Linked DNA regions of Oreochromis niloticus. Each later gene encodes a partner of the first gene's protein in a complex. Links are inferred from orthologs where the notes say so. Each region holds a gene or a part of one and is shown in the gene's direction. Other genes may lie near its edges. The genes, in order: ubtf, taf1a, rrn3 and polr2k.

Region 1 (7,480 bases):
AATTAGATGGAAATGTGCCTTTCTTGAGATCAGTTAGAGCTGTGTCTACATTCAAAGACACCTCAAAACCCTTTCTAATCTCACATGTTTAGCATTCTTAAACTTATCTTTTTTAAACTAACCCATAGAGAGAAAGCAAGATAACTTGCCCCCTCTACGTCTGTCCCATTAGCACGCAATCCAACCAGTTCTCAAAATGTATGATGTAAGGCCAAATAATCTACCTTTAACTATGTCTTTCTAATCAGCATTATCACTCTGTCTTCTCATAGAAACTGGTTGTGCCAAAAGGTATTGAAGTGACTAACCCCGATGCGAGGGGATGGTTTATCAACCCCATGGGAGAAAAGAAACCTTTCCCCGGCTGGATGATAGGTGCCAGCTGTATACCTGCAGTGCTTGTCTTCATCCTCATCTTCCTTGAGTCCCAAATTACTACGTCAGTGACACTTTAAACGATAACAGTATCAGTTTGTGTGAATTTAACTACTTAAATATTTAAGAAATCTCTGTTTTCAATGTTCTCTGTGAATCCCAGGCTGATTGTGAGCAAACCGGAAAGGAAAATGGTAAAAGGGTCGGGTTTCCACTGGGACCTTCTCGTCCTGGTCACCATGGGCGGAATCGCGTCTATCTTTGGAGTCCCTTGGCTGAGTGCTGCCACTGTGCGATCTGTCACCCACGCCAATGCTCTCACTGTCATGTCCAAGGGCCCCAAACCAGAGATTGAGAAAGTGATTGAGCAGAGGGTCAGCGGCATGATTGTGGCCATCATGATTGGTAGGTGCTGCCATCTACAGCAATGATGCAGGCACAGCAGAGTCAGAGTAAATAACCATTTTGCTCATGCCAATTTTCAGGAGTTTCTATTTACATGGAGCCTATTCTGAAGATGATTCCAATGACTGCCTTGTTTGGCATCTTCCTCTATATGGGTATCACTTCTCTAAATGGAATCCAGATGTGGGACAGGATCCTTCTGCTCATTACTCCCAAGAAATACCATCCCCCTGATGCCTATGCCACCAGGGTATCTATTCAGCACAATACAGTTTATTTTACACTTATCAGCTAATCACAGTTAATTTGTATGCAGTACACCTTCATGTTTCGAAGCTAACTCACTGTGTTAGACAGTTTTCCTCAGAGCACAAAAAATATTTAGTATTGTTTACAATTTTTAATCTATTTGCTATTTTTTCCATGTCTTTGTAGCTTTGTGCCTCACATTTGTGTCTTCTGTTGTATATCTTTGTGATCATTTTTTTTTTACCTTGCTTTCATTTTTACTCACTTTCCCAGACCTGCTAACAGTACTTTCAAAAACAGCCAATGGTTCACAGCTCCTTGCATTAGATTATGTATTCCATCCTGCTTTTTCTTATATATCCAAGTCTAGTGGTGTAATAATTACCATATAAATTGTTAATTAGTGCATTTCTCACTCTTATTTTTGTCATTTGTACAGGTGAGTACCCTGCGAATGCATCTGTTCACTCTGATCCAGCTCGTGTGCCTGGGTGTACTTTGGGCAGTGAAGATGAGCACCTTCTCTCTGGCTCTGCCTTTTGTTCTCATTCTGACCGTTCCTCTGCGCATGTTCATGACTGGCAGGCTCTTCTCTGCCATGGAAATGAAATGTGTAAGTGCTTACCTATATTTTTCAAATTTACCTCTTCGTGTCATTTCATATGTAAATTTCCTTGTTGTAACCTGATCTGCATGTGTTGCAGCTGGACGCTGATGACGCCAAGGTGACATTTGAGGAGGATGAGTAGGATGGATCTATACTGCCATAAACATCACCATACCGTTCATATTCACATTTTATTTAGTGATGCCACTTCTTTGTATATTTAAACTGTTCCATTACTATTTGTCTTTAAAGGGCATTACCTGACATTTATTAATATATGACTTCTGCATCTAAATTTGGGTTTGCAACCACAACAGACAACCAAAATGTATTGAATTTCATCATCGAGACCTATCAGGTATTACTAATTAATATTTTGAGATTTTAGGATTTCAAAAATGTTTTTTAAGGTATAAGTGGCTGTTTATGTACTTAGATACAGAGTGGCATTTTCTCTCAGGGAAAAATGAATGAATGGATTTTGAAAATAAGAGATATTTTCCCCTTGTGATGTTAGATAGATCCATTTATATATAATAGTTTTATTTTCTTTTAGTGCTCAATTACAGCATGGCTTTAATATTACAACAATGCAGTTAAATTTTAGTTCTGCCCATGTTACAATAATTTAATTTCATCTTACTTTAAGCTAAGGAAATCTGATGTCAGCTCTTCAGATGCGCACAAAATAATGAATTTTGTGAGACTATAATGTGCCTTTTGTCCATAGTTTATCAGATTATTCAGAAAAGTGTGAAGTTGTTTCTGAAGTTTTCCCATTTACTTTGTGTATTGTTTATGCAACAGTTTAGACTTTTTTTGTTCAGTTGGCCTATATAGAATATAAATGCACTGCTTGTGTGTAAGTGTTTGTGATTTTAAATGAGGTGTGCAGTGCAGGTAGATAGTTGATGCTGAGATCTTATTGTTTGAATTGATTGTTATACTGATGACATAATCAGGTAAAACTCTGTATACATTTTCCTTGTGCATTTTATGTTGCCCATCACATTTGTGTGCAAAACACTGTACATGCTTTGGATTTAATTTTATTAAAAAATAAAGACAACCTTAAAACGCATGTTTTCATGAACGCATTAAGTAACACAATATGTCACATCACATGTCAACATTTTGTCATTATTTTTACCCTGCAAGAAAGAGGAGAGGGCGTGAAGAGCATGTCTGCCAGTCAGCTTCATGCTGCCTTCAATGATGTCAGGAAACTTCAAAGTCCTGCTGCTCTGGAAGACAAGGGGGGCCTATTCTTACTTATTCTTAGCCTACACTATGATAATAACACAGGGGGAATCATTAAACAGAATACTGTTTTCTTTCTCAGACTAGTAAAACATGTTTAGCTGAATGACATGTCACATAATACATAGATACACAACATACAAAACCGTGAAGTTGTAAAATACACCCTTTGTTATGTATTTTTTATTTCATGATGTCACTTTTTAATAATGTTTCTAATATTCAATCAAGACAAACATAGTTGGACCGGCTGATTTTCCTATCCCTTAAATAGCGCAACTGCTTTGAGGCAAACTGAACTGCGACACAAATAGTTAAAGTTCTTTGGGGAAAATGATCACGGCAGGAAAGGGGTAAATTGCTTGTTCCGAGTCTTTAATTTTAAAAACAGACATTGCACGCTGCTAAGTCCCCTGCCTCTTTACAATGAGTTTTGTTTGTTTGTTTTCTATAGGTAATGTGACATTTCGTGAAGTTAAGATAAGCTCTATATGACTTATTCGTTCAAGCATGTCTTCATTTGTCTCTACTCGTTTCGCATGCAAAGATACCCGTTTTTCCTACACCATGGGAACGCAACACGGTTTAACAAGGCCGAGGGCCTGAAAGTCATTTGTTTTCCCTGAATCGGACTGCTTGGATTGGATGGCCGGGGGTTCCGCCCACAAACACACAAGGTGGAGTTGAAAAGCAAAACATGCTGGACCAAAATGAAGCTGTCAAACAGCCGCTTACAATATACAAAAAAGAGGTTAGGAGCAGCGAGAAACAGCGCGGTTTTTGTGTTATAGACCATTTTATTATTTATATTTTAAGTGGAAATCTGGCGTTTTTAAGTAAAATTTGTAAAGTTTCGGTTTTAAGTTGATATTAAAAAAAAATCTGATGGAAGAGCGTGAGGTGATTGAGTTGTATAAATTTTACAATCACCTGTAAAATGTTGGTTTTCATTGCACTCTCGGTCACCCGATAAAGTATTCGGTGGGTTCAAACTTCGGCTGCAGATGTGACGGGGTCGGCCTGCGGGAGTAAAAATAATCGCCCTCGGTTGTATTCAAACTGAGAGATCGGAAAAAATGTGGAGGTCTCGGGGTAGCGAAATGGTTGGATGGAGAGAGAAGAGCTGCTGCGCGCTGAGTGGAGGGAGACGGCGAGTGAGATGGAGGCGGGGGGGAAGGACCATCTCTGCGGGGACTGGAGCCCAGGACCGACGGCGCAGTGCTGGCTATCGTTCAACCCTCCCCTTCTTCCTCCACAGCGACACCGAGGCTCACGCTGAGAGACAGGTAAGCCAACACAACAGCCGATCGGTTTCAATATACAATGCGCGTACGTGATAAACAAACCGCGAAAAAGCCATCAAAACGCGATAAATATACATTTAATGCATGTTTTTGTTTTCTCGTAAAGCGCCTCGGTCGGCAGCTTCTTTGTAGTAGCGAAATAAACCGACGGTGGTAGGGTACAGACGAGGGCGGCCATACCCGAATTTCTTGTCCCAAACAGCGGGGAAGGAACTGGATGTAAGACCCTGGGGTAAACGTGATAAATTTCTTTTCAAAATAACACGAAAAAAGACTCTTTTGAGCTAACCCCTTCATCGAAACTCGCCTGCTTCTGCTGTACGGGGAGTATTTGCGTAGGAGAATAAACGGTGGTTTCCGCGCCGAGACCTCCATGCGGCTGTTGACGGAACAGCCAGCCGCCTCTCTCGGTTAGCCATCAGGGATCTCAGTTTAATATCTCACCGTGCAGAGACTCGCCCTCTCTCTCCCCCTCTCTCTCACTGGCTAGCCCAGAACCTCCGACGACCGAGCTCGGAGAACCCGCCTTCTTGCCCTCGCTTAAACGGTTTTGGATCGAGGGAAGGGAGTCTGCGACGCCCTGGCTTTAGTTTTAAGCTCCGTTTCTCTGTGTTTGCAGTGCGCCATTGGACCTTGTCACGGTAGGTTTCCTTGTAGAGCAGAGCTGAAGCATGGCGGACCTGGAGCTGTTTGTCGCGCCAGAGAAGCTACTCAGCCGCGGTTTGTTAACATGTTTCCTCGGAGCTTTAGCTAACCATTTTAGATGCCGTTTAATGCTACAATACTGCAACCGGAACTGTAAGCAACGGTTAAAGCTGATTTCTGGTTTTACAACAACAAAAAAATTTAGTTCGATGCTATAACATTTGGCCGTTAAAAAACATTTTCCATTTTCTTCTTTCTTCCTGCGCCTCCGCAAGTCTTTCCAGCCAGCCACCACGATATTTACGGGCATTTTTACAATTTGTTACTAATCCCTGTCCGCTGTCCACCATTTGAATTAGCTGTTTTTTATTAAACGCAGCTAAATAAAAACCGTTACGTGATTTAAATGATTGGTTGTAAACAACAGCTAATGTTAATGTGGTCCAGGTCTACTCTGCAGGACACGAAATTGTTCTTAGATGCCAAAAAGCCTAAAGCCTTGTATTAAATAACCTTTTAAAAGGCATAGCTAATAATATTTAAAAGAAAATGTCCCAATTTTAGCCGCATTCGGTGTGTCAAATCGTCCTTGCTCGTGTAATGCCTCAACACTCCAATTTATATCACCCATATTGTCATAATAATGAAATTTAAGGTACATTTTGTGTTTCAAGAGTTTCTTATATACAATGTGGCGGTTATTTAGTTACATAAATGGTGAAATCGATCGTTTAAATGTAGCTAGGTCACACGGTGGACACCACATTGAGCTGGGGCCATCAAGGACAAGATGAACAACGAGCAGCCGCCATCATTGGAACACAGTTCGGTTACGCCTCGCTGAAGAATGCTCTGGATTTTGCTAGCAAATCCCACTCTGAAACGCCTGAAACGTGAATAAAAACGGCCTGCAGATAACCTTTAAACACATTTATTTACTGTAAACGAGTGTTATTTTTGATTTCATCGCTCCGGTCTCAGTTAACACTACGAGGAGAAGATTATAGGTTTTGCGTGGCGGAGCTAGATCAGCGCCCAACGGTGATGAGGCGCCTCTGTCGAGTGGCGCATTTGGCTGCAGTGCTTCCAAGCTACCATTCCCCTTTCTCGGAGACCGAAAGCAGATCCCTCGTCCGTGGTCAGCTGGTCGCCTACAGCTGCCCGTCCGTCCACGTCCATTCGCTTCCTCCTTCCGTGGATCCTCCCCAACCTCAGCTCCGACAGAAAATCCTCCATTACTGAGCGGACCAGGCGAGAAAATGGTCGCTCCTGTGTGTCCACGATACTTTTGTTGTGGAATAAGGACAGTACTAATACGCCAAATTCCGGTTGGCAAAATTTGCTCGACGGAGACTCCTGTTGTCGTAGCTAGATGTGCTAGTTGAAGCCCTCCGCAGTGTTATTTGAGATTTGAAGCCGTCACAAGCAATAGCCTATGTCTCACCATGTAGCGTAAACGTTTAAGGGGCGGTGTAATGAACATAAACCATTATGTCGAGCCAAATTTAAATTTAACGACTTTGACTCGTTTATTACTTTTATATGAAGAATTAGCCACTTTAATTGGTAATTAAGCCCTTTTATACAAATAAGACAAAATAACATTAATTACTATTTTTAAAGATCTCGAGCCTTACTGGTTAAAGGTAATAAACACGAATATGTATATTATAAACTGCTGATTGGTTCTTGATTGAAGTCGATATATAAAAGATATGCTTTTAAATAATCTTATGGGGGTGTTTTTTGTTTTTTTTCGCAGATCCAAGACAGAATATCCGCAAATGAATGGAGAAATGGAGGCAACGACACAAGACCAAGGTGGGTTTTTTGCAAAAGTTTTTCTGAACAGAGTTGATATGTAGATTAATCATGGCAAAGCAGCACTTTACATAACCTTGTATATTAAGACCTTAGTATTAAACTTGATTAATGTACTAGTTCTTGTAAGAATTACAGCAATTAAAACTGTTTGATTCAAATTAGATTAGAATATATGATTTACCAACTTAAAGCCAATAAACGAATAGAATAGTAATTTTATTGTTATTTTTTTCTTGGCAGAATACACAAAAGGATGTATGATTTGAAAGATATTTTGGGTGGATCTGTTTTTTTCCTTTGTGATTTTTATGTGTCTTTTTTCTCTCTCTCTCTTTTAACATTTTCACAGTATGGGCGCAGGATGACCTTTTAAGACTGCTGGAGGCCATGAAAGTGGCTCTTCCACAGAAAGACCTGACTAAATACAAAACATCAGAGTCCCACCTGGACTGGCAGAAAGTTGCTTTCAATTCCTACACAGCTGAGATGTGCAAGCAGAAATGGCAGGAGGTCTCGAAAGAGGTGAGTTGATTTGTATCGATTTTTCTCCAAGTCAGATTTTTCTGTTAAGTCAAGTCTCCTGAGTTTCTCTGTTTTGTTTTTCTGCCAAACCCAGATTCGTAAATTCAGGACCCTGACAGAATTGATAGTTGATGCTCAAGACTACATAAAGAACCCATACAAGGGCAAAAAAATAAAGGTGAGTTCAAGTCAACATTCACATAATTTACGGCCAACAGTTGTGCTAATGGATTTCCAGGCTTAAGTAATTCCGCCCCCTTTCCCTCCCACAAATACAGAAACACCCAGA
Region 2 (7,975 bases), on another chromosome or scaffold:
AGAAAAATCAAGCACATGAACAGGACAAATACACAATCACAACACATATGAGGCAAAACTGGAGGCAAAACTGGAGTCCCCCACCAAACAGAAAACAGTATCATCTTCAGTGGTTCTTCAGGATGACAGCTGAGCTGATGGAAATAAAATAGAGGGTGAGATGTGCCTGCTTACCTTGGCGAGGGCCTGCAGGCTGACCAGAGTTTGGTCTGAAGAGAGGAGCGCGGCGCTCATTGAGCTGAGAGGTGAGTACAGCCAATCTGTGAATAGGAAGAAAAACAGCTCAGATGCAGTTAAACTGGGCTGTGACTAACGGTAATTTTAATTATCTGATGAAAATGTAACAGAGCAAGTGGTGACGTCATTAAATAATTTCACAGTTTGTCCAAAAGAAACAAAACAATCAATAGCCTCCAAGCTATTCAGCCTGAAGTCACATTAAGCAGTAATAGGAACAGCTATGATGTGCGGTAACCACTGTTTAGTGGTTTTTTCAGGCTTTCGCAACTTCCTGTATAGAAACAGCCTCATTATGAGTAACAAACAACATTTCTGATATTCCACAACAACAAGGAAGCTTTAACAACTGCCAAAACTCACTTTTCACGAAGCTTCGATGATTCGAGCTTCTCTTGGTTTAGAGCTCGCTCTGCATTACGAGCATTCACCTGCAGGCAGCGCAAAGAAGCAGAGTAACGCTTTAGCTCAATATTAATCTTACACAGACTGAATAAATTATTTATAGAAACTGTAAATAAACGGTGTAGAAACATACCCAGTTTGAGTGAGTTTTGTTCTCCTGCTCTTTGATCTAAAGAAAGAAAATCACATTCAGCCGAGATTCAGATTGGAGTAATGTTTTTATTTTGTTGGCTAATTTGTAAACGTTAAGATAAAAAAACAAACACACAGTCTACCTGCTCTTTGTAGACTTCCTCAGTCTTCTTCATCTGGTCCTCCATCTCATTAATGCGCTGCCTTAAGATTTTAACCTGCTCCTCAGCTTCAACAGCTTTCCCTCCAACCTCCGACAGCAGATTCTCTTTGCTGCGCCGCTCCAGCTCCTCCTTCGTTAATTTCCTGTGTGCGCACAGAAACATAGTGACTCCCAGTCCTCCCACAAATCATGACTGATGAGAGGTTTCACTTACTCATCATCATCATCATTCATGGTGTAAAGACAGCAAGTAAAATTTACAACTACAAAAATACAGACGACTTTCAGACATTCAGGACAGGAAGTAACAATTTCTAATCTGCTGAAGACTTCACTTACTGCTGCAGAGCATTTTCCTTCTGCTGATACATTTCGACCATGATTTCGTTTTTCTGCTGGAGGATCTTGAACTGGTTTTCAATGTGGCTCTTCTCACTTTTCAGAGTTGAGATTGCATGTTCAAGCTCCTGGTGTTGCTCTGTTTTAAAATAAAACAAAAAGGAGTTTAGTGGGATGCAGATACCCATTTTCAACTGAATTACACAACTTCTTAATTAATCTAATTCAAAATGTACCTTCCATTGCCTTCCTGGACTTTTCTTCATTCAGTAGTTTTGTCATGAAGCGATCCCGCTCTTCTTCAACTACAGCAAGAGTGGTCTGAACCTGTAGAGAAAAATACAAGAAAATGCACTAACATTTTGAAACCGAACAATCCTCTATAAACTAAATATAAGCTTTACAACATCTGTTGATATCTCACCCTAGAAACATCCATCATCTGTTTGATTCTGTTCTTTATGGTCGTCTTCTTGTCTGTAAGAGACACTGAAAGAACAACAAAACACTATATTATTAAACAGTGGTTAATGAAACAACTTGTCGTATTTCATCCACACATTTACGATATCCCTTAATATTTTGATAAACTACAAACTTACCAGGTGCTACTTCACCATTGGCCAAAACTTTGGTGTCACCTTTTTGTAAATCACAAGCTTCCAGGTCAGACAGAAGTTCAGACAGCACCTGAAGTAGACATATTGTGCAAGAGTGAGACGATTTAATACAGATTTAATAAATAAATAAATAATAACAAATAAATAAATAATAACAAAAATCAGGAAGAGCTATGACAGTAGTTAGTGAAAAAAATGACCTCCACATTGTGATCTTTGAGCACCACAGAGTCCTCCAGTTCTTTCTGGGACTTCTGATAGACTTTAATCTTCTCATTAAGCTCTGTGTGTTTTTCCTCCCAGCTTTTAATGGTGGCCTTCAGCTGTTAGAAAAGACAGGGCATAAATTAAATCTGATGAAATATTCAGATTTATGACAAGAGAAAAAGAGAAATAAAAGAAGAGAAATATCCATATCTGTCTTACTGTTTTGTTCTCGCCCTTTAAGGCAGCAAACTCTTTCTCAAGACATTTTTGTTGAACGTTTCGGGCATCTTCGCGAATCTTGGCTTCATCCAGGAGAACAGTAGTCTATGGATGAAAGAAAACAGTTTATAAGATAAATTAAAGCTAAAAGGTCAAAGTAACACTACAGAGTTTGCAAAAAAAAAAAACAAATCCCAAAAGGATTTGTACCTTAGAGAGCGCTTCCTGCATTTTTTTCCTGTTAGCTTGTAGCTTCTCGTTTAACTTCTCTAATTTCTCAATCTGTTAAAATAAAAATAATAATAATGATAATAATTGCAGCATGAATCAGCGAAAAGAATGCAAATAACAACGAGCAGAAAGCAAAATTAAACACTTACTCTTGTTTCATTTTGGAGAGTGTTTGCCCGCTCTTCCTCCAGTAGCTGTGCGTATTTGTCCTTTTCCTCTGCCATCTGTTTATTCAATGTTTCAGCCTGTAAGACTTTACTCTGCAAACAGTAACGAAAAAAAATTAACGACAACCCTTCACCAAATAACTGAGTGTCAACAAAGATTTAACCCAGTTACGTAAGACTAAATACATATGAGAAAGACTCTTACTGCTTACCTCTAGCTCTTGCATCTTTTTCACTGCACAACTAACAGTTTCCTTTGACTGTTTTTGATTTTCTTTCAGTTGTTCAGTCTTTTACAAAAAGAAGAAAACATGAATCAGATGTGTTTTGTTTGTTTTTGTCCAGGAGAAACTCAGCAACATTTCTCTTTATGGGGCTCACCTGTTTCTGGAGTTCAGCCATTTTGGCAAGAGCTTCATCCTTTTCCTTTTTGTGCACCTGGATTTGCTCTCTGAGTGTTTTTTCATCCACTTTTCCAATAACACAAAGCACACAATCAATGAGGCCGTACACATATACATTTTGTCATGTTGTGCAAAAATTATAACTGAAAACTTACCGAGGTACTCTTTCTTCTTTATCTTTAAAAAATGAAAATTAAAAAAATCAATTTTGAATCTTACAGTGTATAATATCATCCAACAATGACCTAAACAGAAAAGATTTTATACTGTATATAACTCAATCCAATGGGAGTATAACCCAGGGGGATACAAAGCCTTATTAAATCAAAGCTCATACAAATAATATTGGCATTTTACTGGCGCCAAATAAACAGAGCAGCAATATCACAACACTTACTGCCAGCACAGTCCTCCAGAAGAAAAGGGTGAAGGTCACTACTCCAACCAAAGCAGTGATGACAACAGTTTGCCAAGGACAGCCAAACAAAGTTTCTCCTGGCTTCCACTCTTCAGGCAGCAATGAAATCATCTGAAGAGACAAAAAAACCCACAACCACAGCTTTAACTCCGGAGAATGAAATTAAACTGGAAACAGATGGTTAAAATAGCACTATGCAATTAAATTATATCGATTTCTAGTTACAAACACAGCTTTCAACAGTGGTGAAAAGAAGATTGAAAATTATTTTCATAGTGATGCTCTTATTTTGTCTTGTGTTATAACTTGATTGCACTTTTCCGTATCTCTAAAAATTCAAACAGCCTGCGGTAGATTTACTTCAGCTCTAGCCAAGATGATTATAAGAGATGTTTGTCAACAAGGAAGGAAGAGCTGAACAGTTAATCACAGAAAAAAACAATAGTGTCATGCTCTCCTATACAATCATTTTCTCATTTTGCCTATCGCAACATCACCTTTTCCTCTCAGTAAAAGCCTAAGTTCAGGCTATGGCATGAATACTTTGGTTTACAAAAATGTTTTTTTATTTAGCTCAAATACACTTAATTAAAAAGAGACAACAGAGTTACCATGTTTCAAAATGTATCAAAAATAATTATGACTATAATTCTGGCTGTAAAATAAATAAACAAAAAAGCCCAATGGAAAAAGAAACAATACAATATACAATAAAAACACTGCAGAAGCTCTGATTAAACATCAAATTAAATCTACCATTAGACTAAGACACTGTGCATACATTTACCAAACTATGACACTTCACTAAAGAGTCATCTGTAACTCAAATAAGCACTCATTACAACCAAGATTAGCAAGAGTAACAAGAAGAGCATCTCTGTCCCACAACGAATCTTAAGGCTGAAAGGCTACTGCAGCAGCAGAGGTGCCACTCTTGTAAGCTAGAACAGGAAATTAAGGATATGACTGACATGGGCTGACCAGGATTGGACAACAGAACACTGGAAAACATTGCCAAGCCCCCAAGTATTTATCTAATAAAGTGTCCGGTGAGTGTATGTGATAAAGGACACAGGATTGATATAAAAAAAACACAAAAAGATTCGTCTACACTCTCAGTTTAGTCACCAAAATAATTCTGTTGGTTATTTATTAACATAAAAAAATAACATGTTTTCTACATTGTTCTATACATACATTTTGAAGTGATGTATGAAGCATTTAATACATTACTTGATTAGGGAGCAATTCATACTATAAGCTTTTCTCTTTCACAAGCTAGGTGGGTTTCACTTTATAGTTAAACTAGCTTCATTTATGCCCAGTCATACCAAACCGAGCGTATTAGTCCAATCACAAAGAAACCTTTGAACTCCCCATGAGGCAACAGTAGCAAACATATACACGCTCTCACTCCGTGGCTCTAATAAAATACAGGGATTACAGCTGCCTTAATACTAATGGCAAATATTAAAAGCCTCTCTTCAATTTACTACTTTTCAATTCTAAATGTTCAATACAAATTTAACAAAGGCTGGGCTGTAAGAACAGTTAGATAGCAACGAAAAGGGCACAGGACAGTGAAAGGTCTTCAATCAAATATACAAGACCCGGTCGACTGCTGCTAATGCTAAAGGCAAGTTTGGTGAGTAGATTTAGGACCAGGAACCGTCCAAGTCATTATCCATCAGCCACCTGCTAATTAACACGTCATGGTTAAGGCCATGACAGCGTAAATAATAATATTCATATGTGTGTCCGTCTGGCTTTTTTTTTTTTTTTTTAATACTGTAATGAATACTTACATGTTGCAGTCCCTTCACAAAAACCACATATGTGTGCTCCGGTTCCATGACAGGCAGGGATAATGTCTCCCTCTCCATTCTCGTGTTTAAAAACAAGAACGGAACTAGCCAGATGCTAGTTTGACAGGTATCAGCTAGCTGCCTAGCACGTTAGCTATCCACAAAGTAACTGTATTGTTAGGCAAAGGCTCGGTATCCAGGAGCGTTAATGTCTCCCGCGTACGAAAGACAAATAAGCGGTCGTTAGACAAATGGACAACGTAAAATAGTAGAGATAGGAGTTGGTAACAACGACTTGCTAACGGTAATTACAGATCACCCGTCAAATCCCATTCACAGCTGTTATCGTGAAGCAACGGTCGTTAGCAGAGTTGGTGGTTCTGATTATGGATAACGACTGTAGCGACCAAAAAAGGCTACACTAACTCAACAACACATTATCTGCCTGTACATGCCACAATAAGGCCGTTAGCCACAGCAGCCAGCTCAGCACCGGCTGTGTTGAACTTCAGCCTATACCGCGACAGTCAACAAGGCAGGGGGAGGGCCGGAGGGGGCATTCAGGGAAAACTGGAAATTTGAGTTCTCACATAATGCACCACACTTCCAGAGCAAGACCGACGTCTGTTACATGTAGGGCGACCAGGTGTACCCACACGATTTTAATCCTCTGTCCCACATTTTGGCTGGCTCAACAAAAGTCTCTAAAGTCATGCAAGTCTCCCGAGTCTCCAGCTCCTCAAAAACTATATATGGGGAAAAGAGTTTATTCATGCAGAAAAATGTGGGGTAGTGGAATGCAACATTGCAATTTCTGGTATCTATTCAAAATTATATACAGTATAAAGTATACTATTATATAAAGTATATACAGACCCAGCTTTGCCTGTGTAAACACTTTTAAGAGCCGCATGTAATGATTTATGAGGTGAATGCATCATCAATATCTGATGCTTAATCTGAATCCGTTTTTATGACAACTAAATTATGTGATTTTTGCATTAATTGGTTAACAAATCACAAGCACCTTTGACTATTTTTTCCCACGTTTTTTCTTTTTTTTGAAGCGCTGGAATTTAAATGTGCCCTCTGGGCAACCACTTTATGTCAACCCCTGTTATTTTAAATGTGCTTAATAAATAAAAATGACTTGATAGTGAACCAAAAAGGGTTCTTATACTATACTTAAATTACTTAAATATTTTCATGTTCAGGATATATATTTTTTCAGTTCCAGTAAAATTTAACACTGAAGTAAGTGTTAAATTGAGTGACATGAGAACAAATTATGGCAGAACAGGAAGAAGGAAGTTGAGCGAAGTGTGGACAGGGCTGTGGGGATGTTTGAACAGACATGCTTACTGTTTGATGTAACTGAAGCGACATACTGATCTCAGACGAGATAAACTAAAGGATCAATCCTATCACACAAGTATTGATCAGATAATAGTACCAACGCTGGTATCTATATAATCAATATTTAGATCGATCCATCCCCTCCTATTTTCAGAGCAGCAAGACAAGTGTCTGCCCCAAATATTGCGACAATGCCCTACATTTTGACTGGCTCTACAAAAGTCCTCGCCAGTGATTCTCATATAGGGCAATCACAGGCCAATAAAACACATGTGAGGCAAAGATTTTGCTGGTGTAGTACAATGTGGGGTAAAGTACTAAAGCCTATTAATACATCTTTTCAGTTATACAAATGATGCATACTAACTTGACTGTGTTTTACTTGAAAGTAATTTGTCCACAAAACAGTGGATCATCTGCCTCCATTTCACCCTATTCCTTGCATTCTCCTCTGTCACACCAACCCTCTGATATCCTGCTGAGCATCTTGGTCACTTCCAATAAAATCTGAGCATCTTTAACTTTGTCATCTCCAGCTGAGGCTCCTATCTTTTTATTAGTGATGAGCATAAATGGAAACTAAAGTTTATAATTGGTCCTATGGAACAGTTTTCTGTACACGCTTCTAACAGCTGTCATTCCAGCCTTTCTGTCTGCTAATCATCTTTGGGTTTTAGCAGGGATGCATCCAAGTTCTTTTTGAGTTGTTTTGTTCTGACACAAATCCATTTTTGTAAATTAGAGTCATTTAAAATGTGGGACACTGTCTCGATATAAAAATGCTGTACAGTCTCACACTCCTGATGACACTAGACTCACAAGAAACATTTGGGTTTAAAAATTGATGGGCTGAACTATGAATGCTTCCCTGCTGAAAGTACTTTCATGCTTTCAGCTGTTCGCTTATTTCCCAAGAGGTTGCCACACAGGAGGGAACCACATGTTGATTTGTTACAGATACTACACCGGATGCCCTTCCCACTAGCTTGTGACCCCTGAGGCTGGCTTTGTGTCTCCTCCCAGTCTTGAACCAGTGATCTTATGAACCATTTGCTCTATGAATGCCTCCCTACTAAAACCCCAAAATTATTACCACAGAGATAAGAGGTGGAAATTTTAACAGTTACAGTGATGCAAACAGGAAATGCAAGACTGCACAAAGACTGCCACATAGGACCATAAACAAACTTCAATTTCTCTTTATGTCTATTCTATAGACATCGAGTTTAACTAAATTACAGTAAATCAAAGTTTATTTGTGATTGACCTGAT
Region 3 (7,139 bases), about 22 Mb from region 1:
TGAACGAAGACGCGGCAGCTCCAATCTGGCGCAAGGATTGTAGAAATTCACAATAACATTTGGTTTATTCCTGTCCCAAACCTGAATAGCAATATACTCCAAATCATGGCCTTTACCCAGGAGTCTGTATGGAATGTCTTGTTTGACAAATGTTGCACATCCTCCCCCTCCACCACGGTCGCTGTCATTTCGTATTATCTTGTACCCATACAACACAAAATCCAAAGAAGATTTAAGCCAAGATTCCTGGACAGAAATAACATCCGGTTTAACATTAAGTAGTTTGATGAAATGCTTCAACTCTTGGCCATTGGCCAACAGACTCCTTGCATTCCATTAAAGGATAAGTACCATGAGTACATAAAATAATATCATGCTTCCTGACTTGACTGATAATTGAGGTTGTCCCTCACTTCTTCCCATGTCAGTCCTACTAAACCCAAGTGTTTAATCGCCCTGGCTTAACAATAAGCTGAATTTTCTCCTGCTTAGATTTCACATCAGCTGTGGTGTTTATCACTCCTGCAATGAATGTAACCAACGCCATCTTATCAATAACCATACCATTCGTGTTGATCTGGGGAACTCCTTGACCCCGAGATGTACCCTGTCCTGGGTTGACGTTGACCTGTTCACTCACTCTCATCACCCTCACTGCTTCAGCATAGGAGATCTTCTTCTCCACCCTCACTTTTTGAATATGATTTTCTTGTTTCATTCTCTCACATCCAGCATACGCAACACTGTGACTCCCACCACAACTACAACACTTTGGTTGAACTCCATCTCCACATTTCCCATATTCGTGATCTCCACCACACAGAGCACATCTCCTCTTTTCCTTACAGTTTTTCGCTAGGTGTCCAAACCTTTGACAGTTAAAGCACCTCAGAGGTTTTGGAACGTAGGCTCATTCTGGATAACTGATGAAACCCAAAAACACTTTCCTTGGCAGATTTCCTTCTTCAAAGTGTCTCAGGATACTTTCACTATCTACCTTAATTCCTTCTTTTGTTGCTTTCAACCTGCCCACAGAAATCACATTTCCTCCTTTGATTTTTTCTTTTCAGATCATCCATTTTCACACTAATGGGGACCCCAGAAATTACCCCCTTGCATCCACCTCCTGTCTGTGCACCCACATGCCCAACATTTTCCACTTTAAACTTCCCCAACTGCTTTAAGTTCAAAGCCTTGTTGAACTGCTCTTCATTTACACATTGCACAAGAAGATTTCCATCTGACAGTACCTTAGCAGAAACTAGATCTCCCACTTTACTGTTAAGTTCAGCTGTCAACACGAACTGACTCAGTTTTTTAATATTGACTTGTGTTCTTTCGGTAAATCTCAGAACAGCAAACATTTTCTCTCTAGCTTCTAAAGAATCATCCCTACCACTACTGCTCCCACCTCTTTTACGCTTTCCCCTCCTCTGCTCACTTTGCATTTGCTCCAGAGGCATTTCCTCTTCTTCGTCTAAATCAACATAGTCTTCCCAGCTGCACACAGCTGACCCACTCATGGAACAGTCGTGCTCAACCGCCGCCAATCATTTCCACTGATTCCTCCATGAGCTGGCACCCAAAGAAAGTGAATATTGCCACCAATCAACCACCCAGCCCCACCTACAAAGGGCGGTTCCCAGTCTCAGGTCTCACCTGTCACATTCATATATTCATATACACACACTACCAGTTAAAAGTTTTAGAACACCCCAGTTTTTCCAGTTATTTATTGCAATTTAAGTCGTTGAAGTTCAATGGATAGCTTGAAATGGTACAAAGGTAAGTGGTGAACTGACAGAGGTTTTAAAAAAAGAATGGTTACCCAAAAATTATACAAAAAGGCCTTTTTCAGGGAACACAAAATGAGTTAACGATTTAAAGCTGTTCTGCAGCAACGGCGGTTCAAGTCTTGAAAGCTGGTGCTACTAATTCCTACAGGTGTTCCAACTGTTCTGGGTTACTTACAACCATCTCTGTCTAAATAAAATGGTGTCTGCATTTATGCTTCAATCTCTAATAATTGGCTATGTACCACAGGCCTTCAAGCTTCAACAGTGGACTCATCTCTATGCTTGTCCTGCTAGACCTCAGTGCAGCGTTCGATACTGTTGACCATAATATCCTATTAGAGTGATTAGAGCACGCTGTAGGTACTACAGGTACTGTGCTGCAGTGGTTTGTATCATATCTATCTAATAGACTCCAATTTGTTCATGTAAATGGAGAGTCAGGAGAGGTTTAACTACTGCCAGCTTGAAGGCCTGTGGTACATAGCTGATTATTAGAGATAGGTTGATCATATTTAAGATTGAAGAATTAATTAATGGCAGGACTTCTTTGAGCAGTTTTGTAGGAATGGGGTCTAAAAGACACGTTGATGGTTTGGAGGAAGTAATTATTGAAGTTAACTCAGAAAGATCAATTGGAGAAAAAGAGTCTAACTTAACATCAATGGTACTAAGAGTAGCTGTAGATAATATTACATCTGTGGGATGATTATTGGTAATTTTTTCTCTAATGATTAAAATTTTATTTGTGAAGAAGTTCATGAAGTCATTACTAGTTAACGTTAAAGGGATGGTTGGCTCAGTAGAGCTCTGACTGTTTGTCAGCCTGGCTACAGTGCTGAAGAGAAACCTGGGGTTGTTCTTATTTTCTTCAATCAGTGACGAATAGTAAGATGTTCTGGCTTTGCGGAGGGCTTTCTTATAAAGCAGCAAACTATTTCTCCAGGCTAAATGATGATCCTCTAAATTTGTGACACGCCATTTCCTCTCCAGCTGAAGACCTGAGGCTGAGGGGAGGACAGTGAACTGTAATGACTCACACACGTAGATCCTACGTGTGTGAGTGATGTGTTGTATGAGGGAGTGTGTGGGGGGGAGGGGGGTATATATAAGACTGCCCCCACCACAAAGGGTGGTCTTGCAGATGAGTCCCAAATCTGACAGCATCAGATGTCACTGGAGATGACACTGTGATGAGTATGAAGCTATATAAAAGTCTTTCAAAGGTTTCTTTATTTGTTGAGGATCATAAGTAATGCTTCTGGTCAAATCCTTTATAGAATTAATAGTTGTTTATTTCTTTATTTAGTTTTAACTTTGCAAAGAATTTTCCAGATTTATTGCCTTGTTTAAAGCACGCCAAACACAGCCTTTGCATCAGAAATTGCGTTTTCTTGGTAATTACTTAATGTAATTCTAGTTTTAGCTTTCTTGGGTTGTTAATAATGTGTTCTTGTGGTGAGGCAAAGCAATCATTAGGCAGCTTTTAATGATTTTATTTTTTGTTCTAGTTCTATTTAAAAAAAAAAATTCTTATTTGAACAGTAAGATATTGTTTAAAGTGTTAGAAAAAATACTGTTGTATGACGAATCCAAACTGGGAGCGGAATCACAAGTAAGCCTGCAGTGTGAGAGCGAGTGCTCTATTGGGGTAATATAGAGTAGTATGAGGTCTTTAAGATTCATACTAATATAATACGGGCTATCAACTATGAACTAAGTAAACTAACAGAGTACACCTAAGTATAACGGAAGTATTATAATGATCATTTACATGATATGTGCTTCTTTGTCAGTGGTGCATATAATTAGTTGGATACATGAAATTTATCCAATGATAATAATTTCATCAGGCTGAGTTGATAAAAATTGATGTAAATGGCTGCATGCTCTGTGATAGTGAGTTAAAAATGTGTTATCTTTGATCCAACTTTGATTTTATTCTATTCTGTACAGTACAGTTGTGTACTGTATTTATTCTTATTGTATTCTAATTTTTGCTTCATAACTTTTGCACTGTCCACTTCCTGCTGTGACAAAACAAATTTCCCACGTGTGGGACTAATAAAGGCTATCTTATCTTATCTTAATCTGTTTACTCTGCTTTTCTTTCCTTTTTTGTTGCTTTATAAAAGCTACATTTATTCTTTTTGTTTGTTCGTTTGTTGTATTTGTTCAGCCTGTGTTATTGTTACGGTGTGAGCCTTGACTCACAGCCTGTGTTTGTTTGTACATAAGCTCAATAAAGTTACTTCACTCAGGTAGGAACCTTCCTGAGCGAAATGGATTCCTTGAACGTTCTCCTTTAATGTGACACTCCTGCTCCGAACAATCACTTCCGTAAACACGCAGTTCTCTTCCTGTTACTTTCGCGTGGTTTTGGACGGGACGTCCTGGAGTTTGTTTTCCGGAAGCGTGTTTCCTTTGATCAAACTAGTTAACGCCACAGTATCGAGAGCTGTACGGTGTGAGAGATGTAACGAGCGAGTCTCCTTTCCAGCTCTGTCTTTCAGCTTAACAAGCAAAGACCAGCGTTAGCTGCCCGGTGGGTTATGGAAATAGACGGTCGAGACTTTCTGAAGACCCCTTCTGTGAAGACGGTCAGATTTGGAGGTAGTGTTGCGGAGACGTTAGAGAAACACAAACACGTGAGTTATATCTTAGGGTTGTCATTCTTGGAAAATGATAAAGAGAGATATTTATTTAGGGTTGTTGATTCTGGTGACACATCTACGAGATGGTCCACTAAGTTATTAAATGAATCTAGACCCACCTGCTGGCCTGTCTGTGGATTCTGCTGACCTTCGTAAAGTTGTTTACAAACACCTCTATGTTTCCTACGCTTTTGGTGAACTGCTTTTTTGGTGAGCTGTTTCTCCTTGTTTTTTAAGGGAGACTCGAGTGATTATGAACTCCTGAAACATCAGCTGGTTGATCCTGAGATAAAGGTAAGCATTAGTGTGAGGGCACCCTGTGGTGTGGTGGACTTTGCTTCTCAGTGAACGCCCTCTCCTCCGACAGGATGCTCAGATCATCAACTGGCTGCAAGAATTTCGGACTTGTGTGACCCACCTGACCAAGGATCATGAACAGCTCATTTATACTATACTGGTGAGTGTAAATATTAACATGATGCAAGGAGAAGAGTACTATATTTACTCCACCGGGGGTCCAAGTGATCTGAGTCGATCTAAAACAAACATCACATCAACAAACTGCATGCTGCTGATTAGCCTGTCAGCATGGCAAGCAGACGGCTTAGCAGCAGATGTACCGTTGCCTCGGTGTCCGCCATTGTTGTGTAGCGTTTAAATGAGCTCATGGGACTTTTGGGTGTTGCTATAACGACCCCACGAACATTGAGGTGGTACTCAGTTATATTGTAAAATCACCAAAACCGAGCAGAGTAGGTACGAGTGGAAAAGAGGCATAAGCTTTAATTTTTAAAAGGATCCATTTTAAAGTTTCAGAGCTTTTAATATGCAGCTGTTACTTTAGACCTAAACAGCAGCACTGAGTGCAGGCAGTGCACTAAATGACCAGATTAACCAGTTTCTGCAGCACTGATCACATGTTGCATTTTACCAGTATATTTTTATGTTCTATAGATTTTTAAATTTATTTGATAATGTTTCTGTTGGAGCTGTCATGAATTTTCTCTTTATTGTGGGATTTTCACATGACATGTGAAATGCCCATTATAGTTTAGTTAGATACTGCCAACACCACCCCTCTCATGTGAGTGCGCAGGGCAAACCCCAAGTTAACTTACTGCTCACACTAATCACCACAGTTACAGAACAAATGTCACCTGACAGAAAAACATATAGAATCAAACACAGGATGAACTGTAGTCCTCGGGTCTGGGGCCCATCTGCACACTGAGCCGTCACACCAGCCATCCACTCCATCAGCAACAGACAAAAAAAGCGAGTGCAAGACAAACTGGCCTGTGTAGGACCTGCTGCCTCGCAACCCACCCAAACTACCCCACAACTGAGAGAAAAAATGAATTTGTTTGATCTTAAACATGTAAATGTTAAAAAAAAAAAAAGTCATCAGGAATTTGGCAAATACTTTTTCACAGCACTATTATAGCCTAAAAACAGGACCTAGGCAGGTTTTGTTCTTGTATTTGATTGACTTGCATTGACTGTAAATAACATACTGTAATGCTGTTGCTGGCCTCTTGTGGCAGTAAATTCAAACTTTGAATGAGGCAGTCTGTCATTATAGACTCATTCAAAAAAAAAGAGGATGGAAATGCCTTTTATTTTGTTTTCTCTAATAAATAAATGCCTATTGCAAGCTACACTGATAATACCTTGATTAGTATATTTTTATTATATTGTCATGAATATTATCGCATATTTCTTTGAAATATTGTTATAAAACTAATATAACTTATAACCTAGCCCTGTTCCTCAGTGTGGGTGAGAGGTCATTTGCTTTTTAAAGCAACATCTTAAACTAGTATGTATTAATAAAACAAAGAAATTAAATTGAGCCAAGAAAAAAGAGGGTAGATATACAAGATATAGAACATGTATGCCTTCACCAAATTTGTAATGACCTCATTCCAATATGAAATTCAATTTTCTTTATATTGCACCAAATCGCAACAACAGTCGCCTCTACAGTTGACAGGGAAAGTATTATTGTGATCAGACCTGCAGAGAGAACCGCACATCCAGAACGCTGACTCGTTGTTCTTAGTTTAATCCACACCCGTTTAGCCTTCTGCTCCTGTAGTAACCAGACAATAACCCTTGATCACTGATTCCCCACACCAGCGTTCAAGTTTGAATCAGGACCAATATTAGAGTCAAATATAAAATGAAAAAAAAAAAATTCACGGGAAAAGCCGTGGTTGATTTAACATGGACAAACAAACTTTTGTCAGTATGATATACTGTTGAGAATGTGTCATCTATTCTGTTATTTTGTTACACATTTTAAACCGTTCAGTCCACTGATACGGTCGAAGATAAAGTACTTTCTAACTCTAGCAGTGGATTATTTGGCCTTAGGTGTCTTCATGTGGTGTGAATCAGCAGACGTCCAAAAAGCTGATTGTGTTTATATGCTGGAAGACATTACACTGTGTGTGTGTGTGTGTGTGTGTGTGTGTGTGTGTGTGTGTGTTTGTTTTATAGAGGCTTCCTTGGCTGGGCCGGAGCCAGGCTGTGGTGGACGAGTACCTGGCCTTTCTGGGTAACCTGGTGTCGGCACAGACTGTCTACTTGTGTGCCTGCCTTAACATGGTGGTCTCCCACTTCACCCCCAGTATGTTACTCTGACTGGTACTGAAGTAATCATGATTCATACACGTGTTACAGTAGTAGG
Region 4 (7,234 bases), on another chromosome or scaffold:
CAGTTATTTGAACAGGGAAGGACACCAAGTTGCTCTTAGTTTCCTTCCCTGTTCAAATAACATAATAATAGTAGTAATCCATGTATGTGGTGGTGAGGTCATCTTCTTACCTGTAGTAGCTGTGTGGCCGTCGCTCTCTGCTCCGGGTTCTTCACTAAACACTTCTTGACAAAGTCTGTAAACTCGTCTGACCAGAGCTCCGGCTTCCTGAATGTTGGAGGAGGGTTGGTCGGGATCATAAAGATTGCCTGCAGGAACACGATAACAGGATTAGGGTGGATTAAAAAAAGAGGAAAAATGTTTTTCACAACACATTTAAAACAAGAAGAAATGTTTCTACTCACTCTCATTGGATGGATGTCTGCATAAGGAGGTTTACCCTCTGCCATCTCTATGGATGTGATGCCCAAGGACCAGATGTCAGCTACACAGTTGTAGCCGATCTCCTGAATTACCTCGGGTGCCATCCAGAACGGAGTACCGATCACAGTGTTTCTCTTCGCCATGGTGTCCTACAGAGTGGGAATATATATTACCCCAGACTTTTAGAGCATGACAGGACCAAGCGAGAACTCCTCAGAAGCAAATTACAAACAGTATCATGCTGGCAGACATTACTTCATCTTATCACTACTGACATATGCCGCAATTTTACCGTCAGCTGTCCAGCAACCCCAAAGTCTGCCAGTTTGGCGTGTCCCTCTGTGTTCAGAAGGATGTTTCCTGCTTTGATGTCCCGATGGATCTTCCTCATGAAGTGAAGATACTCGAGTCCCTTCAGCGTCGACTTAAGGATGGTTGCGATCTCATCTTCTGTCAGCTGAGAGATTGAAGAGTAAAAAACAAACATGAAAAAACAGAGCATTAACTGCTGCACTTGTCTGTAGTTTTTTTTTTATAATCATTAGTTTGCTGAGTTCAGTTAAAGACAAGTTCAACCTGGAGATCTTTTCACTTTTAAGTCGCAATAAATACTGCACTTTGAATTGAAACTTTATCAAAAATATTTTTCTTCCTGACACAAAAACTAGTGAATTAAAGCCGCCATTGCAGTCATTACTGACAACAGGTCAAAGGCACTTTTAAATTAAGTTTTAGCACAGTTACACACGTCGCTGCGGCTCAGCGTAGACACCCACCGTCTTGTTGCGCAGTCTGATGATGTCAGAGACAGAGCCAGCGCCGCAGTACTCCATCACAATCCACAGGTCTGTGTTCTTGAAGTAGCTGCCATAGTATTTCACCACATAGGGGCTGGGGAGGAAATGCAACATGGAGTGGTTATCAAAGGAGAAGATACAGAGCAGAAGTGAGAAAAAAAATCTCATGGATCCAGACACGAGAGAGCTACATAGGCTATGATGATGATGTCATACTTCCTCCATTATTATCTCTGTAAAATGTCTTTTGAGGGTTTTCCTGGCTCAGAATGGACCTTTGAGAGGAAGCTAAGTGCAACTGGTCTGCGTACAGTTAACACTAAGAGGCTCTTATCTAATTAAACAGAACAACTGTGCACTTCCCTGTTATTTGGGGCAGCTGATAAACAAAAAATGTATTCTGAGCCTGCAAATAAACAATGATTTTCTCTCAAAACTGTTTACTGGACGCCACATTTTTCATATTGAGGAAAAACTCTGCTTTTAAGGGGAAAACTGGCGGTATGGTTAAAGACATACTGCTGTCCCACCTGTCACACTGCTGCATGATGGAGATCTCCTTGATGATTTCCTGCAGATCGGACTCCACAGGCACCTGCTTGATGGCCACCACCTGGCCGGACTCCTTATGAATGGCTTTAAACACGCTGCCATAGGAACTAGAAACACACACAAAGCTTAAAGTCACATGTACGGCCGCAGTGCTTTATTACAACTGACAGCACTTAAAAAGAGATTCATTACGCAATGGTCAGCTGTAAAAATGGAAGTTAAGACTTCTTACCCTTCACCGAGTTTCTCGAGAACATCAAACACTTCCTCTGGCTGTTTCGTCAAACTATCTTCACTCAGCTTTTTCAGCTTACTGTAAAAAGTGAATAAGACAGGAATATAAAAGTGAAAGCAATGATAAGTGGAAAAGGCAAATCTAAACATTACAAAACAGGAGACACGGCATTGTTTCAGCATTTGTAAATAAATGAACGGCTGTGGGTGATTTTTAGTCTGGACATAAATGTCAAACACACTGGGACTGCAACTTGTTATAATTTCCGTTTGTTGTAATTTAAAGATATTTTTAGGTTTGTGCATCGGTGCTTTCAAACACCACAATATGAGGTAATACTTCTTCACAGATAAAAATCAGCACCGCAGCCAAACAACAGGAATAAGTCATTATTTTACTCAGAGCAGGAATGTCATTTTAGCCAGTTAAGTTCAATGTGATCGACAAAAAATGTTATTGTGAAAGTGAAAGCACAACCCAACATGCACTGTTCACTATTTTCTGACTTGATCAAAAATATTATCACGTGCAATACAAGACTAAAGGAGGTCGTTTCTCCCTGAGCAACACTTAGTGACGCAAGCTTCAATAAGGTTCCTCAGTCTGGCTCTAGTGAATAAATCAAACACAATGAATCAAAAGATTCAATCATTTAAAAATGATCCTACATGAGCTCTGACAAAGACACAAACAGATTGTGTGTTTTTTTCCCCATTATAAGGGTATTTCAATACTACCTCTTAGAAAAGCTTGTGCTATATGAAGCTGGAAAGGCCCTCACATCCTGCTGTTCCTGTTAATTTCCACTAAGCAGAACAGAAACGTTTAAGTATTGTGTCCTCAAAGTCTTTCAGAGAAGCCTTTCACTGACTGTGAGAAGAGCTGAAAATATTGCTGTTTTTCCTTGAATCCAAAATAAAAAACTTATTCAGTCTGAATTTCACATAGTGTTTTATAATTATATGTTTTTGGTAATTTACTTCAATATCTATTATTATATTTATGATGATGATGATGATTATTATTATCATCATCACTTATTTTGTTCAAATATTTATTTTTGGAGACTCATTCTTTAATTTCATTGTATATTTATTAATGTTATAGTAAACTTTTAAGCAATTTTTACTCTATATTTATTTTGTCTTTATATTACGCAATTTTATTTTTGTCAATGATTTCCAAAGCAGTTCTAATTTCTTTTGATTTTGTTATTATTCATTTTTTAAAATATTTTACTATTCTAAAAATCTTTCCTACCAAATTCTGTCAACCTAAATGTTTAATAATATTACTTTATTATTATTATTATTTCATCATCCTTTATAGTGTTGTAATAAAAGGGGTGCTCATATATGGAATAAATAAATATTTCTCATCTCAAGATGAACATGTGTGATCTCATAGTTTAAAAATAGTACAGCAATCATACAAAGACTTCAGATCTGTCGCCTTGTGGTTAAAAAGCTCTTCGGTAAAATTAACTTGCGTTGTCTTTTTTTTGAGCCTGTGAACTCGTGAACCACCACAGCACAGAAACCAACTAAGTAATCAGTAACGTGTAATACTGGTTTGTCTTCAGGAGTTGTGCCAAAAAATACCGTGTCCGGTATTTAAACAGTTCTAAATGAATGCCTATGACCTATCAAACATACCTCTCTCTTATGAATGATTTCAAGTCACTTTGAGCAAGCAGTAGAAGCTGCATTTAGTTTTTGGCAAAGTGACTTTTATATATCTTTTATTTATTTGGATAAAAAGTGTTATTGACATTCAAAACGTCTTTTTTCCAATAGAGATTGCGCAAACAGGCAAGCCAAAACATGGAGGACCTTTAACTTTTACAAGGACATTTTAAGTGGCTAAGAAAGTCAATAACAATAACGCAGACCCATAAAGAGAGATCACGTCTTTATTATATATATATACACATATATATAAAAACCCCTTCATAAATCCTAATAACTAAAGCCTGTTTACAAATACTTTCAACAATATTAGACATAAAAAGATACACAGAAACAATGCAATTCATTTTTTGGAGGACACTCGGGAAACTAGAGGCTGATTCAGTTAACATGCGACTGAATGATATTTAAAGTGCAAATCAAACCACTGAACAAAACACTCTTACAGAAACTTGGGAACACAAAACGACCACATCATTAGCCAAATCTATTAGAAACTCAATTGAGGGCTCAAGAAAGAGCGTCTCTGTGTGAGGAACGATCTGTACATCCGTGAACAGAACTGAAAGTTTGAGAGAAGACTGTCAACGCTAAGTTAGCTTAGCATCAGCGAGCTCGGCGACATCCACCGCCTACGTTAGCTGTTCGGCTAGCTCGATAATAATAGCATTTTTAGCGCAGTTAAAATAACACAAACCTTTTGGGCGCAGACGTCTCCATGATGTACGACTTCAAAACTAAAAAGAAAACAGACTAATAGGGACTCGTGGCACTTTTGGGACCAGCAGTCAGGGCGAGAACATTGTCGACTGAGTCGTTGTTGTCAAAAACTAAAGCAGCGCCAGCTGAGGGCTCGTCGGATGACGGTGTTACGGCCTCACCGCAGCGCCCCCTGCTGGAGCGGAGTACAAACAAAACGGCTAAAAAATACTCTCCTTAGAAACAGCGAATAATTTGTATCTATTAAACAACTGAGACTTGTGAATAAAATGTTACTGATAATAGAGCTGTCCACAAAATACAACTATGCTTTCCTGGTCTCATTCAAAGACATCGTCCGACCAATCACAAGCGACTTTGCTGTGAGGTGAACGACTGTTCTACGCATGTGCAGGCAGGAGCCTTGTGGAGTATGAAAAGAGAGGTAAACAGCTAGCAGCTATCGTGTTTAAACGGTGAGAAACCTTGTTGTTGTCTTTCCATCCTGTGTACTTCATATCTGTTAGGTTTATGCAGCGTTTTTAGATACTTTAAAGATATTTGTTGTTTGCTCTAAATACCATATGGGTTGTTTTAGTCTGTTTCGGGCAATACCATGCTGTTTCTGTTAGCATGTTGTTAACAGTTATATCTCTGTCTCTATTTTTTTGTTAAGAATCAGAAATGGATACGCAGAAAGATCTACAGCCGCCCAAGCAGCAGCCTATGATCTACATATGTGGAGGTATATTACAACTTTTACTTTAATAATACACCCGCGGGTAATGCAAACAGTACGATCTTACCTGCTCTAATGCAAACCTTTCATCACTGCCATCACGGCTGCTTCTCCTCTGGATGTTTTTTTTTTTTACATTACACCGCAGAGACCTTAAATATTGTTCATATTGTGTTCCGTCGTAGTAACAATTCTCTCATAATAAGTTAACAAATAATAAACTACAGCTAAATTTAGATTCTAAAACTAGCCTGTCCGACATTAATAAATTAAGGATTAATCCGTAATTAATGCTTCAGAGATAACTGAGAGTGTATTTTTTCAGGTATTACAGCACTAGTTTTTAGAGAAAACCATCTATCACACTATATCATGTCCTGTTTTGCCTAACACATGAAAATGTACATTATAGAAAATTCGCATAACTACCGTCTATAATTATAAATATGAGTTCAGTATTAGTACTAAATAACACTTGGAGCACAAGGTCTGCCTATTGTAAACCGGTCTGTGCATTCAAAGCTGTGATACCTGGCATGTGTGGGATTTCCATTCACTGAAATTACATCTCAGGTGCCTTTATAGCCTCATGACCCCTACCCCTTTTCTAATCTCTGTTTTAATCATAGTTAGCTTGGAATAAGATAATTTTATTGTTCTGTATGTATGTATGATTTTTTTTTTTTTTTTTTTTTTACCTTGTGGGTATTTGTGCTTCCAGGTGCAAAACACAAGTACTAACTGAGAGTTACATGATGTTCTTGTGTTTGAATAGTGTTTTTACTACTTAATCCACCTTGGTGGAGACCTCTGGATGACATAACATACACATTAGGCTCACTAAATGTTTACAGTGGGAAATGTTAAACCTCCTTCACAGTCTGATACATTGTTACTATTTTGGAACCAATAACACATATTTCACCATGATTACGTAATGTTGGTCATCTTGCATCTGGAAAAGGAACCACCCTGATTTTAGTACTAACAAGTTTTGTGGCAAGTGTAAAAACTCAGTAACAATCTGAATGAACTGAAATGAATACACCTTACACATTATGGACTAAAATATTGGGCCACACCTCTTTGAATTCAGAGGCGTGCGCTAAGTGAAAAAAAGTTACCAACACTCTGCTGACTCAGTAGCTGCAGAGGTCCAAACCTTCTCTGTCATTAACATCAGCAGAAAAACTATGTGCTGCCCGCTGCTCTGCTCTGCTCAAACTGCACTTGAACACATAACACCATGATTTCTCTCATCACTTGCAGAATGTCACACCGAGAACGAAATCAAAGCCCGCGATCCGATCAGATGCAGAGAGTGTGGCTACAGGATCATGTACAAGAAGAGAACAAAGAGATGTATCCTTTTGACATTGTGTGCATGAAGACAACTTGTGAAAACATTAAAAATGACCAACTGACAGTTAATTTCAGACATGAATCTTTATGCTAAAGAGTGTTCAGATATTTTGTTTTTGATTGATATTTTTTGGTTGCTACGTTTGCTGTGGATTTCCTTGACTCTCTGATTTCAGTGGTTGTATTCGATGCCCGATGAAGAAGAGGAGAGGAGCAGTTTTGACTCTGTTTACTGTTTGTAGTGTGGGATCATGTAAATAAATAGACCTGGCTTCAGATTTGTGAACTACTCATTTTATTCTCCGTCTAAACAATACATTTGCTTGTCAAAGATGTATGAAAGTTTGTTTTGGTTTATTAAAAAATAAGTATTTTAATTGGTCGTGACTGTTTTTCCAGTTTTTCTAACTGATGAGCCGATTTAATTGGTAGCATCTCCATGACGACAGGAAAATATGTGTTTCAGCTCTTGTAGACTTTTCTATATTCATGTAGTCACGTGTAATTGGTCTGTTGCTATGAGATGTTTGCAGCTTTTCGACCCCTGAAATGAAGTCTGCCTTTCAGAATAATAAAATGCAGCAGGGGGAAGTAACCTGATTTTGTGTAATGCAAACTGGTTTGGGGCCTTTTTCATAGTAATAAAGATTAAATGACACTTCGATGTTTTCTTCCCCTCACCCCCAAAGGTGATTTTAATGACTTTGACTGTGGGATAATTGTTGGTACCAGACTGGCTGATCTACGAGGATTTTCCCACAGCCATCTCCCAAAAAGAGAAAATATCCAGTGAGCGGCA

What was found.
Region 2: ubtf (region 1) and taf1a share a complex: the UniProt entries of both Homo sapiens proteins name them as parts of the pol I pre-initiation complex. The link is inferred for Oreochromis niloticus from reciprocal best matches to the Homo sapiens genes UBTF and TAF1A.
Region 3: ubtf (region 1) and rrn3 share a complex: the UniProt entries of both Homo sapiens proteins name them as parts of the pol I pre-initiation complex. The link is inferred for Oreochromis niloticus from reciprocal best matches to the Homo sapiens genes UBTF and RRN3.
Region 4: ubtf (region 1) and polr2k share a complex: the UniProt entries of both Homo sapiens proteins name them as parts of the pol I pre-initiation complex. The link is inferred for Oreochromis niloticus from reciprocal best matches to the Homo sapiens genes UBTF and POLR2K.

What each region holds. Positions count from the first base shown.
Region 1 is NC_031969.2:28,404,045-28,411,524, reverse strand, and holds the start of ubtf (nucleolar transcription factor 1), read left to right. Parts: upstream 1-4,468; 5' UTR 4,469-4,841; intron 4,842-6,607; 5' UTR 6,608-6,629; coding exon 6,630-6,666; intron 6,667-7,018; coding exon 7,019-7,191; intron 7,192-7,285; coding exon 7,286-7,369; intron 7,370-7,469; coding exon 7,470-7,480. Other genes in the region: slc4a1a (solute carrier family 4 member 1a (Diego blood group)), read left to right, coding at 273-439, 539-780, 861-1,030, 1,469-1,642, 1,734-1,778. UniProt on the Homo sapiens protein: Recognizes the ribosomal RNA gene promoter and activates transcription mediated by RNA polymerase I (Pol I) through cooperative interactions with the transcription factor SL1/TIF-IB complex.
Region 2 is NC_031980.2:14,112,288-14,120,262, reverse strand, and holds the start of taf1a (TATA box-binding protein-associated factor RNA polymerase I subunit A), read left to right. Parts: upstream 1-4,954; 5' UTR 4,955-5,178; exon of another isoform or gene 5,179-5,187; intron 5,188-7,975. Other genes in the region: mia3 (transport and Golgi organization protein 1 homolog), read right to left, coding at 175-260, 601-668, 776-811, 918-1,080, 1,277-1,415, 1,513-1,603, 1,701-1,765, 1,879-1,966 and 8 more. UniProt on the Homo sapiens protein: Component of the transcription factor SL1/TIF-IB complex, which is involved in the assembly of the PIC (pre-initiation complex) during RNA polymerase I-dependent transcription.
Region 3 is NC_031969.2:6,416,664-6,423,802, forward strand, and holds the start of rrn3 (RNA polymerase I-specific transcription initiation factor RRN3), read left to right. Parts: upstream 1-4,121; 5' UTR 4,122-4,345; coding exon 4,346-4,441; intron 4,442-4,684; coding exon 4,685-4,741; intron 4,742-4,814; coding exon 4,815-4,904; intron 4,905-6,949; coding exon 6,950-7,079; intron 7,080-7,139. UniProt on the Homo sapiens protein: Required for efficient transcription initiation by RNA polymerase I (Pol I). Required for the formation of the competent pre-initiation complex (PIC).
Region 4 is NC_031985.2:19,959,502-19,966,735, reverse strand, and holds polr2k (DNA-directed RNA polymerases I, II, and III subunit RPABC4), read left to right. Parts: upstream 1-4,697; 5' UTR 4,698-4,810; intron 4,811-5,010; 5' UTR 5,011-5,018; coding exon 5,019-5,079; intron 5,080-6,342; coding exon 6,343-6,435; intron 6,436-6,611; coding exon 6,612-6,634; 3' UTR 6,635-6,713; downstream 6,714-7,234. Other genes in the region: stk3 (serine/threonine-protein kinase 3), read right to left, coding at 111-248, 345-512, 656-820, 1,140-1,254, 1,691-1,819, 1,945-2,025, 4,333-4,355. UniProt on the Homo sapiens protein: DNA-dependent RNA polymerase catalyzes the transcription of DNA into RNA using the four ribonucleoside triphosphates as substrates.